Linked DNA regions of Kluyveromyces lactis. The protein of the gene in region 2 interacts with the protein of the main gene of each other region in a biochemical or structural test. Links are inferred from orthologs where the notes say so. Each region holds a gene or a part of one and is shown on either strand. Other genes may lie near its edges.

Evidence for each region.
Region 1: the proteins of UBR2 (region 2) and RAD6 form a complex in vitro, tested with the Saccharomyces cerevisiae proteins (3 studies listed by BioGRID). The link is inferred for Kluyveromyces lactis from reciprocal best matches to the Saccharomyces cerevisiae genes UBR2 and RAD6.
Region 3: the proteins of UBR2 (region 2) and RPN4 form a complex in vitro, tested with the Saccharomyces cerevisiae proteins (3 studies listed by BioGRID, with this or other methods). The link is inferred for Kluyveromyces lactis from reciprocal best matches to the Saccharomyces cerevisiae genes UBR2 and RPN4.

Annotation. Positions count from the first base shown.
Region 1 is NC_006039.1:502,667-505,998, forward strand, and holds RAD6 (E2 ubiquitin-conjugating protein RAD6), read right to left. Parts: upstream 1,313-3,332; coding exon 818-1,312; downstream 1-817. Other genes in the region: KLLA0_C05610g (uncharacterized protein), read left to right, coding at 78-629; protein kinase PKP2, read right to left, coding at 1,902-3,323. UniProt on the Saccharomyces cerevisiae protein: E2 ubiquitin-conjugating enzyme that accepts ubiquitin from the ubiquitin-activating enzyme E1 and transfers it to a E3 ubiquitin-protein ligase.
Region 2 is NC_006042.1:1,415,396-1,421,065, reverse strand, and holds the start of UBR2 (putative ubiquitin-protein ligase UBR2), read right to left. Parts: upstream 3,852-5,670; coding exon 1-3,851. Other genes in the region: E3 ubiquitin-protein ligase UBR1, read left to right, coding at 4,773-5,670. UniProt on the Saccharomyces cerevisiae protein: E3 ubiquitin-protein ligase which probably functions outside the N-end rule pathway, since it lacks the residues essential for the degradation of N-end rule substrates. Mediates RPN4 ubiquitination and subsequent degradation.
Region 3 is NC_006039.1:371,936-376,673, forward strand, and holds RPN4 (stress-regulated transcription factor RPN4), read right to left. Parts: upstream 2,513-4,738; coding exon 818-2,512; downstream 1-817. Other genes in the region: phosphoglycerate mutase family protein GPM3, read left to right, coding at 1-545; KLLA0_C04125g (glycosyltransferase family 32 protein), read left to right, coding at 3,773-4,738. UniProt on the Saccharomyces cerevisiae protein: Acts as a transcriptional activator of a number of genes encoding proteasomal subunits. Binds to a PACE (proteasome-associated control element) DNA sequence 5'-GGTGGCAAA-3'.

The DNA.
Region 1 (3,332 bases), on a different chromosome or scaffold from region 2:
GGATATACTGATGTTTGAATGATTAAGGAAGGGGAAAAACGGCAGCACAAACTTATAAAGCACCAATTAAGAAGGAGATGCCACGTCCGGTACCCAAGTCTTTACTGCTACGTCAAGCCAGACGTCTTTCTCCGGCAACTCAAGCACCAACCCCAACATTAGGTGCTTTAATATCACAATTCACACTTTCAGATAATTTCGATGAGACAACTTTAGAAGAACAATACGAACAACTGAAGCCTCTTCTGACCAGTATAACATTGACAAATGTGCCCTTTGACACCTGGACTTCCAATGATATTAACGTACTAAAACACCATCTTGATGCAAAGGCACCGCTGCCTTGGAAATTTTTAACCGATGACGAAAAACGAGTGTGGTATCTTTTGGGGTTTGGAACTTGGGGTCCGCGGAAAGAGTTCAATAAGGTAAAACCTAATGACATTCAGTGGAATGCGAATGCTAAGGTAAGTTCCAATCAAAGCGATGTTCCTAAGGTGGTGACACCTATACCGATTTGTTCAAGTGACAGAATCGAATGGGAAAAGAAAAAGAGACAACTAGATCCGCTAACAATATCAGTGGGCGTATTCGCCTCGATGATCACTCTCACAGCATTCCTTGTATAAAGAACTATTCGCATGGATATGACAATTTGTCATTTTGATTAAAGCGGTAACGGGTTGAGATTATTATGTAGATATTTGTATGCGTATATATATATATATATATATATATATATTTCGTGTTACTTGGATGCTTCTCGCTCACAAGGAATACTCCGGTTTAAGAAATTGGATCTAATCAATTTCGATTATCATTCTTCATCTTCGTCTTCGTCTGCCATGTCTTCCATATCATCTTCCCATGACTTTTCTACGGTCTCTTTCACACGTTTCACGTACTGAGATTTGTGATCCTGGAATAAAGTTGCTGCTTCAACGTTAGCAGGCGATGCAGGATTGGGATCATTAAATAACGACTGAATTGACGTTAGAATCGATGCAACGTCATATGTCGGAGTCCATCTATTCTGAAGAATGTCCAAGCAAATCTCACCATTGGCATACACGTTAGGATGGAACATCTCACTCAAGAATTTGACGTGCGGCGGTTTATTTGGATATTCTTCATCGAATTCTAGTAATAATCTAAACGTTCCATCTTCATACGGCGTATCTGCGGGGCCGATAATCATTGCATTCCAGATCATCACATTATCAGGTAGCGGCGACGCAGATACGCCTGGTGGCGAGTCTTCTTTCATTCTTTTGAAGTCTCTCATCAACCTCCTCCTAGCTGGCGTAGACATATTGTAGTATTCTTTCTTAAAACTTATTCCCTTAACACTTAAACAGGGTTCTTGAAAAGTGGCTATAATTTCGTTTAACCAATATTCAATGATTAATTTCTATCAGTACAATGACAATGTTTAACAAACGTCAGTGGTTCCTATAATATTTCGGTTTCCCAGTTGTAAGACTATCCTCTGCTATATCCCACTAATTGTTCAACCAGAGACAAGTTCTTAATAATTATTCGTAATCGGCGTCTCTTATTTCTACAGGAAATCTCAATTCAGTAAAATCAATTTTAAAGAACCACAATAGTATATTTCTTAACGAAAGTAGCTCCAGTAACAAATAATCAAACACACAGAACACTACTTGCCGTGTCTTTAACCACTGGCACCTTTCGTTTAGTCCAATAGTTATTCCAAACGCATCCTGTATCTATTTCAACTTTCTTTCGAAATGTGGCGAAATCTATTTGTGCGGGTAATAATAAAACGCTTTCCTATGCCAAACGACCATAAGTCATCGAATGATGATATAAATAAGTAAATATCGGTATATAGAGTGGTTACTATACATTACTATAAGCATTGCTAACTTGGTTTACTAAACTCTATCCAATTGCAATTTGTCCGTATGCCTCATCAAATTTCCTAGTTTGAGAACGGTATCGGTACCGTAACCTTGAATAGAATGTACGGTCAAATCACCGTTCCAATATTCGGCATATACTTTGCATAGTGCGAGACCAATTCCAAGTTTATATCTGGGAGATCGTTTGAGAAGCTCCATTAGCGGTTGTCCAACTTTAAATTTACCTTTCGTCAAATTGTTTTCTGACATCCGATCTAGCGATGTTTGTCTGTAACGATCTGATTTTAGATGAGCACCGTTAGAAGAATCATATAACGACAAAGTCTGCAATCCAGGCAAGTGATGGAAGTTGTCTAGGGATTGCTTGGCTAGCTCTTTTGATTTACCAAAGGACCATATCTGCTTATCAGAATGTGGCACTCCACCACCTCTATCACTGATTCTGAAAAGATAACTTTGGTCATTCGATATTATAGTTACTGTCACCGGAGGTGCCTTTTCTAGTCCCAATCGTATGGTCTCCTTGACAGTCACTTCGTAGCTGTTTCTTAAGATTTCTCCCAATAGGAACTTTAGATGCGATGGTAGGAAATAGAATTCTAGTTCAGTGTCCCCGTTGATAATCAATTCGGGCATCTTGATGCCCGCAAAATACATATTATTGATGTATGCCTCACATACTTCCCTCGCACCGTTCAAGTACTCCTTGGCGTTACATTTTTGGAAAATATCTCCCAAAACAAGTGTGTTTTCCTTCTTTCCACTTAAATAATTGGATGTGATACTCAAATGTTCTTCTACGATCAACCTTCTACTAATCCGGGCTCTCAATAAATCCGAAATCAATGCATCCATTTTATCCTGAGGGTACAAATCCAGGATTCTACATTCCAAAGCACCCATAATCAAATGAGGCAAGTTCAAAGAGTTGAAATCTGATAAAATCGCATGTAGAAACTGACAAAACTTCAAATTGTCCTTCTCGTCCTTGATCTCCGGGAACTTTCTGAACCTTTCAAAGATGTTATAATATGATTCATACACCTGATTGAAATGGAAATTATTCACTACATCGAAAGGCAAGTTTTGCAATAGGTCTAATTTATGTGCGATACGAACACATAGCTCCTCTTTCACAAATTTCCCAGAAGAAATAATTTTCATCTTCGTTAACTTACTTGAGTCATCGTAATACTGCGCCAACTGTTTCAACGACATTGGATGTGGTTTCTTCTGCAAATACTTCTTAACCAAGACATTATCATTATGGTAGTAATGGTACTGGTTGATATATTTTGATTCTGTGGGATATGCGCTTAAAGTGCTGGAAATGTAGGGTGCAAGCTCATTGATGGACCTCGTTGCAGAATACCGCGAAAAATCAGGCACCTGCGATATATCCAATACTTTCCTTACAACGCTATTCCGTGACATGACAGAATG
Region 2 (5,670 bases):
TCAGCGCAGTACTGCGTTCCTTTTAAAAGAGGTATGAATGCATTTACCAAAGAATTGCACAAAGAGCAATTTAACGAGGATAAACCAAATGTATCTCTTATATTTTTGGTAATTTGCCCTAGACTTTTTCTCAAAGATTTCATATGTGATAGTAAGCAACCGAAATGAGCACAGTGGCCACAAGTTGTAAGCACCGGTTGAAATTCTACATCCTTTGTTTTGTCATCCGAAGCTAAATTGATAGAAACAACATTGCGTTCGACAAATACAAAGTATGATAAAACATCATAATCTTTGGGCATCTTGCAAAATACACAATCATCTTCCGGATATGTCCAACATATACCGATAGCAGAGTTATCGAGATTGGTTCCTTGTGAGCTAATATCCTCTGCAGAAACATTGTTGTTATCCATGAATTCCTTTTGTTGTTTGGCTAGCTTCTGCATAAGTTTTTCTCTTCTCGACTTTGCTAACATCTTCTTCTTAATGTACTCCTCGTTTTCCGATTCACTTATATCAGTGAACAAAATTCTGGGGTCATAATTTGGAGTCTGTTCTGAGAGGTAATCGTCCACATTAATGTGTGGTGCCCGATCTTTCAAAAATCGGAATATCTCTCTGATCTTACCATTCTCTACGTTAAAGTCATCCGAAGATAGAAAATTGTAGAGTAAAGATCCGATACTATGATAAAACCCATTCTCAGACTCGTCAAGATGATACTCATGCCAAAATATTCGTTCAAAGTCTGCCAGGTTATTGACAACACAAAGATGAATCAAGTGAAGAACTTTGCCTAGTAAAGATTCGAGCTTCATTTTCATAATATGAACCAATGTGTTCTTCACGAACACGCCAAAAATGTCTGTAGAAGTGATTTGGTAAAGGTTTTGATATTGTGTATTCCTTAATTGGTCCTGAATTGATGAAGCTTGTACAAATGTGTCATTAAAAGAAACCCCGTAAGTTTCTTTCATCCTTTCACGGACTAATAAGGTGGCTTCGTAGCGCTTATTGGAGGAGAACCCGACGAAGAACGGGTCAATCTGTTTCCTGTACTGTTTTTTCAAACTGTAAGTACCGGTATCGAAATTACCGGTCGGCTCATGGTAATCACTGTACTGGTTTAAATACAAGTCAAATGCAGGATGCTTAGTAACGTGTTCAGGGATTGCCTCAACTAATGAACTATAACTGCACTTTCGAAAACAGAGAGAGTGGATAATTTCTGATTTCATAGTACTTTCGAAACCTTCAACTGAAGTCGAAGCACATAGAGCTCTAGTTTCTGTCATTAAACGTATTAAAGTAAGGAAACATTGTTCTGTCATGGCGATTGTCAAACTCTCTTCTGGGTAGTCACCTATTGGAATTCCTTCTGCCCAGTATTTGAGTCCCCATCGCGTTAGAAAATTAACCATGAAATCATGTGGATCCGCATAACACATTGAAAACTGAACGAGGAAAAAATCACTAAAGTAAGTGAATTCACGCATGCTGTATTTTGTATACATTTTCAATTGATGCTGAATTGGAGAGCCATTGCGTACCCAAAACCCAACATCAATCTGTGATATCATAACTAAAGTGCAGAGGGCCTGTTCTGCTATCCAAAGACATTCAGTTGGAGATTTAAAAAATTCCTTGAAATTGAAGTAATCTTTGAGCGTCTCTGGAAGGGGTTCGTATCTGCCACATTGACTCCACTGAAGTATGAATTTAATGTAATACGATATCGGATTGAAAAAATTCTGGGTTTCTGATCCAACTTTGAAGTTAAAAATTCGAGTCTGTACGTTGCACACAGTTGTTTTGAAGGTGTTAGAAGTATTTCCGGGTATTGATGGACGAAATTTGTCCAATGAGGAGAGGTGTTTATCGATTGAAGTAGTGAGCAATGTTGACACCAATTGTTTTCTTTTAATGGGGTCCAATACAAGTGATATGTTTCTTAGAAACCCGTCAACCATAATTAAGATGGATGAGAAGAAGAAGTAAAATGAGGAAAAATCAAAGTTTTCGTACTGGACATGTTCTGAGGTTTCTCGCTTTAGTGGTAATATTTTGTTGAAAGAAAAGAAACATTCGCGCATTGCGTTCGTTAAGGATTCATTGGCAAAAACTGATGCAGGTTTGGTGTTAGTGCACATCGCCTGGTAAATGTCTTTGAAGCATATAACTGCTTTTTTATTTTTGATAACCGTATCTGGTAGTTTGAATTCTGAGCTCAATGGAATCGGTGGTGAATTAGGGACTATTTCCGAGTCCGAAGACATTATTGAATAACTGAAAGTAAGACATCTTTCTATGAAGCCAGCATTGATAATCATATTTGCAGTTGATGGTGAAGGGAAGATATATTGAGAAAGAGTGCTCATGAGTGTTAGTTTATAGCCGCTTGCATCAGAGACTATTGTTCGATATAGGATGTTACAATAGACATCCAAATATTGAGCCGCTAAGCATTTTTTTGAATCGTCTCTAACACTAAAGATACTTCCAAACACTTCCAACAACCTCATTCTCGTGAACTGTGAAAAGGTAGTCAGACATTCGGTGATAAAATACTGAAATCTAGAACCTGATAAAGGAAGATATCTGCATGCTGTATTGGGGGTATCCGTTTCTCTAATTTTCTGGTCATATATCAGCATGACATTGGTGATGTTTGGATCATGTGTTTCGTCACTGTTGCTTTGGAAGTTCCAGGGTTTGATCCAGGGAAATGAGTTATGCTTTTGATGTGGTACGATGAAATTCCCAAGAATGTTGATTTTGAATGGCTTCACGGCCAATAGGTTGGATACATATTGATCCATGTATGCAAGTCTAAGAGACAATTTTCCAGATAAAACTGAAGGGTTATGAACGGCAAAATGATGTAACCATCGTACTAGTTCACTTATCATGTACCTTTTAAAAACGTTGGACTCATTCATCAAATGGGTCGGTATATCTTGTAATTCAAGTTCTTGCTTCAATCGTAGCATAAAAGCCTTATTGGTTGATTCGGCAATAACGGTGAAATGCTCATCTTGATCAAACTGTGAGAGTACGAACGTACCAAACGAGATATCCTTCTTCAATGCCCTTGAAATTTTCCTTGCAACATCTTGCACATGTATGTTACATTCATGCTGGTATAAGACGAGAACATACTTTTGTGAAAATGATTCTACATTTCCTACAGAGTCTTTGATCGGTATGGACTCCACAGCTTCATGTTTTATCTTCTCATCGCCATCCATCCAAGCAAAACAACAGTCAATAATAAAATCGAGTACCTGCGAGAACGTTGAAATCCACATATCGTTGTACAGTTGTAGGTTCGTAACATCAATATCTGCATTGTTACTCTGTATCCTACATTGAAAAGCCTTCTTGGGATCATTATAGCTAGATATGTCGCCGCAATGGCATACTTTCCCCTCTGGCCGCGTCACTACGCGTGATGTATATCGGTGGCCTATGTGCTGACTCTCATCAAAACAATCTTCACAAATTTCATACAACGGATTTTTTGTACAATCAAAGCAGTAGTAAACGGTCTCAGTGCCATGGCACTGTTTCGAACACTGCGAACCTCGATGATCGTTATGTTTCCTTTTCGGTATGAGTGACTCACGCCAGTTAGATCTCAATTTGATCTTCCCAAAATCGCCCATTTCCCACTGATTTAACCCAAAAACATGAGTAAGATCTTCCCAGTTTATTTCCTCATTACAATGGTTCATACAGGTGAGTAGAACCTTCCAAAGGTAAAACGAACACATATCATTGTATCTGTACCTGCAGAAATGAGCAAAGTGAACCAAAAAATCACGCAGACATCGCACTGATTCGCCCATCTTAAATGGACTCGCTAAAAAGAATACCTGCTTCTTTCTGGTCTTGGCTTGCTAGTCATTCAAACCTAAAATGAACACTATTAACAGAGCAAAAACAAGAAGCGCGCCCCTTGATATAACGTGCATCCATTTATCTATTTACTATTTACATTTTTAAGCTTGTCTTACTTTCAGTTTTTCGTTTCAGCAAGTATTCGAGGCATTTGCCACCTTTAAACATTAGTACGAAGAGCACAAAAAAGAATATCTTAGGATACCTGATGTAAAATCACAATGGAGTTAGCATCAGTTGGGTAGTGTCTATGGAGTGTATAGAGGGACTATTATTGTAAATATTTTGATGTTTGACCGTGGTCACATGACCGAATATCAGTCACGTGACTTACTTTTGAACCAAAAGTCAGGGATTTATAGGGCTGACGACTTTGAAACAGGCGAGCTTCTTTGGATCGAGACGTTGAACTGCAGCTGGAATCCTAACTTAATCGTAGTTTTTTTTATTTATATAACTTCGCTAAATTGTGTGCTGAGAACAACGTTGGATTACAAATCGAAGACATGAAAGAAATGCTTTATTTAGATTATTTTGACAACCTATTTGAAGAAGAAGGTATTGATGGTCAGTGTACCACTTGCTACCAAACATAACCTGCTTATTAAATGATTCAATTGTGTTTATGGAACCGAAATGATTATTTCTAGGGTACTTCTTACACTTTGCTTCGGTCAAATTCCACATACATTGAGAGGATTCATTTTTATCTTCTGAAAGATTCAATAAAAAAAAAAGGAATACGATATCAGAAAAGAGTTTTGACTTTCCTTGCCAATGCACAGTTGACAAAGGTTCAATACAGGTTGATTTGTCGTATAAACAACTGATCATCAACATAGCAATATCAGAACAATCCCTAAGGTAATATGATTAACGATACTGACCCAGAGTCGTTTTTGCGGCAACATGTTGGACGAACCTTAGGCTGCATTCATTCTCGGCCTGAATTCAAAGATATAAAGGGATCTGCAGAGAGAGCAGTTATGGATAAAGAGCTCAAGAGTTTCATATATGGGTATTATTACTATATGATTTCAGACAGTGGTAGGCTTCTTCCGCATATGTTTACTGCTACAAATGAGCGTGAATTCCCCAAGAATGTCGACCAAGCAATGGAAATCAAGCTGAGTTCGAAACCCTGGTATAAGATCGATGAGAATGGCGGGCATTCGAAATTCAACCACGCTGGCAGAATATGTGGTGCGAAGTTTAGAGTAGGCGAACCGATCTACCGTTGTAAGGAGTGTTCATTTGATGATACTTGTGTGCTATGTGTAAACTGTTTCAATCCAAAGGATCACGTTGGTCATCACGTATATACGTCGATCTGCACAGAATTCAATAACGGTATATGTGATTGTGGTGACAAGGAGGCATGGAACCATGAATTGAACTGTAAAGGTGCTGAAGATAATGGTCGTTTGGAAGACGAGTTTGACGACCATGATGGCAAGATTTCTAAGATGCTAGAAAGCGTCCTAATAGAATTATTTGATCATTTCATCGATGTCTTCAACCAAAACATTGAGCCATTAACAACAATTCAAAAACCACTCATTGCGAAACTTAGATACTTCATCCAGAACGGGAAATATAATGAACAAGCTGACATGCTGAGGCGATTGGCATATAGAAATCAATACATGGACGAAGAGGAGTCCCAGCAACAAACGCCATCTACATCGTTAGATCCCTTGAGTACACTTAAAGATTATGCTATTTTGGTATACAACGATGAATTTCATAACTATTCGCAGGCTTCTG
Region 3 (4,738 bases), on a different chromosome or scaffold from region 2:
GGAGATTGAATGAAAGACACTACGGTTCATGGCAGGGTCAAAGTAAACATAAAATGTTGGAAGAGTATGGTGAAGAACAGTATATGTATATCAGAAGAGATTACCTCGGAAAACCTCCAAAAGCAGATTTAAACAGGGAGATGGTACAAGATTTCGACCAAGGTGATACAGGATATGAATTTAAAGAACCAAACAGGCATGTTAAATATTTGGAGGAAGAGATTACTCATGATGAATTGCCCAATGGTGAGTCTTTGTGCGATGTCGTTCAAAGATTGAAACCATTGCTTGAAAATATGATTCTTCCGAACTTGAAGGAACGTGGTGACAGCCTTATAGTCGGTCATGGAAGCACAGTCCGTTCACTCTTAAAGATTTTAGAAGGCATTAGCGATACTGACATTAAGGAAGTCAATATTCCTAATGCCATTCCTTCAGTCATTGAACTAGATGATAATTTCAGATTTATTAGAAAATTCTACTTAGACCCAGAAAGTGCCAAAGTCAATGCAGAATTAGTTCGCCAGGAAGGATTCAAGGAATAAATATATAGATACAAGTCAACGGCACACATTATAAACTTTCTATGTTAATCAATAATTTCTATAGACATCGAATTGGGGTACATTCTCCTGTGGCAAGAAAAAAATGAGTTGAGAACAGAGAAAATATAGTATACCATCCGATATTGAGTACTCTATAGCAAATATATATATCAAGGTGTATTTACAGAATTACATATATGAGCAGAACTCCGATCAAGTCGAAGAAACGTAGAGAGAAAAAAACCAATTCGCCAAACTAAATACCCTTACAGTTAAGAGTTCTGATATTCAACGTTGTCCTTTGCGTATTGTATCACACGCTGTGCTTCGGTACCTTGTAGATTATGCTTGACTTTAACATGCCTACTTAGGGCATCATTTCTCGAAAAGGTTCTCTGATAGCCTTCAGATCCCAGTTCTTGAATGCAGATCAAACACCTGAATATTTTCTTCTTAGAAGCATGGATAGTTTTTTGGTGTCTGATTAAATCATACGGTCTTGAAAACTTCTTCATACATGGTTCGTTAGTGACTGGGTTGTTCACCATGCAGATATGCTCATCGTTCTGGTTGTGGGAATGATGAATGTGTGTGTGTGTATTTGAGGATCCATACGAACGGTCGACGCTTAGTAGGGCATCCACAGATTTACCACGTTGATGATTACCTCTATTTCTAGTCATGGTACGAGACCCTGTCGTGTTCGTTGATTTTGGATCCAGTTTATTATCACTGACCTCATGCGATTTCCGAGTATTTATGGTGAGAAGTTGTCTTTGTTTGTTAGAATTCTGTTGAGATATAACCATACTTGGTTTTCTTCTGGGACTCACCAGAGCAGGTTCGTATAAAGGATCCTCATCGTCCTCGCTGAACATAGCGTCACCCTCATCATCACCTTCTTCCTCTTCTTCTTCTAATTTTTCATTTTCTTCGAGTACAGAACTCTTGATTGACTCTATGCGAGGAACAGTTACCTGCGATAAATCCCTCTGTTGGTTTTCGTTCAATCGTTGTTGGGTATCCATGTATAACGACTCCTCATTCGATTTGGTAGAAACCTCCTCACTGTCAGAGAAATCGTCCTGTAAGTCATTCAGAATCTTGTCTGTTAATTCTGTGTTGTTTTTTCCTCCGTCTGCATTTTCCTCATACTCCCTCTCCTCCTCCTCTTCTTCTTCTTCTTCTTCATCCGAAAGATCATCATCGAAGTTGAATTCTTGGTCAAAACGAGACAGGGTATCCTGATCATTTGTCCAATAATACCCCGCCATGTTTTGGTCATCCCATAACGTAGCCTGAGCGGTCAATTTCTCATCCTCTTCGTACATGTTATTGAAATCACCATAACCCTCATTCAAAAACTCATCTTCGAATCCGTTTTCGTTGTTAATTCTCGTTTGGAAGTTAAACCCACGGACGCTGTTCAACCTTCCATTCGACATACCATTATGGTGGTTGTTTGGATTATTCTGAGGAATCTGTTGGGCATTTGGGAATCTTGCCGAAGACTGTAAGAAAGGATTTGGAGTAATCGTATTAAGTGAAATCGTTGGCTGCACTGGAGTTAAATTCAAATTAACCTGTTTCACAATGGCAGCTGGGCCCGTAGTTGCGGTTGGACCAGGACCAGTGGCAGGTACAGCACATCCGCTTTTCTTATCTAAAGTGGTCAAATTGGGATCAGCGTACTTGTTGAACACCCCACTTGCAGTATCATCATCAGACAAATGCAGATCATGACCCATGAGCTGGCCCATATTATACTGGTGTTGCGAGTGTCCCGACGAAAAATTGGGCCCGGTATAGAATGAATGCACCTGTGACCTCGTGAGTTGCGGAAACGAATCGTAGTGCGTTTCACCGAACCCCATATCTAAAGACATCGGGTTCGTATTGTGGATCCTCAACTCGTCATCAACCACATCCGTCAAAGTCCTTCTCAATTCCAAATCTGCAGCTGACATGGTCTGTTTCCTCTCTCTGTCTGTCTCTTTTTTTATTTGCTCCAATTACTAATTTATAATAGAGCTTATTAGCTTACTTCCTTAAAAATGTAACGAAAGGCCGTTTCCAGTATTCTTTCCCGAACAAATCCCTGGTTCTTTAATTACGAGGGCCTTCGGTGTACAGAGAGCTAAATACCTTACCTCCTTATTTCAAAGTACAGAATCCGCTCGTGCTTGCTTCATGTACCTCTATACCAACCAATATGATATATATATATATCGAAAACTCGTTTGGCTCTTTTATATTTCTATTTCTGTTTCTAGAGGATGAAGAACTGTAAAACACGATGAAAAGAAAGATACAAAATTGAAAAAAATGACAATTGTCACTGTGAGACATTCGTATGACAAATGGAAGCACTAAGAGCAAGAGCAAAGCAAGATAAAGGTTAGAGTATCGGGTGCACAAGCACCCGATACTGCTTTCAACTCAATGGATTTAGTAGCAGTATTTCCATGGAGTGATAGAGACTCTCTCTATAGTATATGACAATCTACCTCAGCATGCAACTGATAAGTCAGTTTGTTGGGTAATTGAGGCGATCTGTCGTTTCGTATGTATTTGTCAACACGTAATTCCTAAGCTGAATCCGGCGTTTAATGGAGGCGGGGTGAGGCTTTCCCTATCTGTTTCCGGGTAACATTTGGTAGCTTGCCATTTTCTTTTTCTTTCTAGATTGTTCTACCGCTAATGCGACTACCCTGCCAAGAAAAAAACAATTGTGTCACGTGTTACGCACGTGATGATCCGTCGGAATGTTTCAGGCGTCGCCAGACATACCATTAGCACTCTTTTATAATCTAAATTATGCATGAGTGCTAATGGTATGTTGTTATCTAACTTAGTTCTAAGTTGTATTTCCGGTTTATACAATTAGATTAGACGAGGTACTTATCTTTATCTGTTAGACAAGATTCAAGACTGAAAGTTACTTTTGATTCTGCATTAAAGTACTCTCTGATATTATTGGTTCTGGATATTCAATTTGTAATATCGTTTGTTCTTCTAATACGACTGCTATTTTGTAGGTACGCTTTGGAATATGTTACTCCATACTTACGTAGTTTTGGTAGAAAGTATACCCCCCCCTCCCCCTCAGATGGGTAATGGCCTTTGTTCTCTAATCTTTATGATCTGTGGTGTATCAAATTCCCAAGGCTAAGGAAATGTAAAACTTAAACTAAAGACAATAGGAATGTGAAACAAAAACAAACGAGATGCAGGAAAAAGAAAAGAATGTTCCAAGGCCAGTTGACCTGACTTTCTTGTCCTCTCATCTACCCATGAAACACCTTAGACCCCGCTCATGCTTATTGTTGTCCATTGTTTCAATTTACCTATTTTGGATCCTATTCCATAACATTCCCGCATTCCAGAATAGGGATAAATCCGTCAATACACCAACTGTACCGGCAGATTGGTCCACAGGATCACTGAGGCATCGGCTGTTGGCACATTTCAATTCTCAAAATGAGATTCCAAGAGATATCTGGCAATCTTGGAAATCAAAACAGAATCTTGATGTTAGGTTCCAGGAAAACGTGAGGCTTTGGTCATCCCAATCTGGATTCAATTACCATTTCCTCGATGATGATGAAATCGATGAATTCGTACGTACCCAATTTAAGCTGTTCCCAGAAATTATTCAGACCTGGGATACGTTGCCGAGAAAGATCTTGAAAGCTGATTATTTTAGATACCTCGTTTTATTGGCGAAAGGTGGATATTACAGCGATATAGATACTTCACCTTCTGTTAACATAGACGCTTGGCTTACAGATGGTCCGTTGGCCACATTGATGGCTGAAAATGATCTCTCCAAGACTGATGTCGGTGTCATAATTGGTATAGAGGAAGAACGGGATCTTGGTACTTGGAGAGGCCTTTTCAATAGAAGGATAAACCTATGTCAATGGACTTTAGCGAGTAGACCAGGTCATCCATTGTTTGTAGATGTCGTTGCAAAGATAGCTGATCTTGCATTGTATTACTATGATCCATCCACCAACGTATTGACTTTCCCAATGGGTTACAAGAACCTTTTCGACGTTCAACCTGCCTATAACATGTCGAAGGATTCTGCTAATTGGTATGAGGGTATCATAGAATGGACTGGTCCGGCCTCATTCACAGATAGCTTTTTCCGAACTATTAACCAGTGGTACATCGAAAACTTCAGTGAT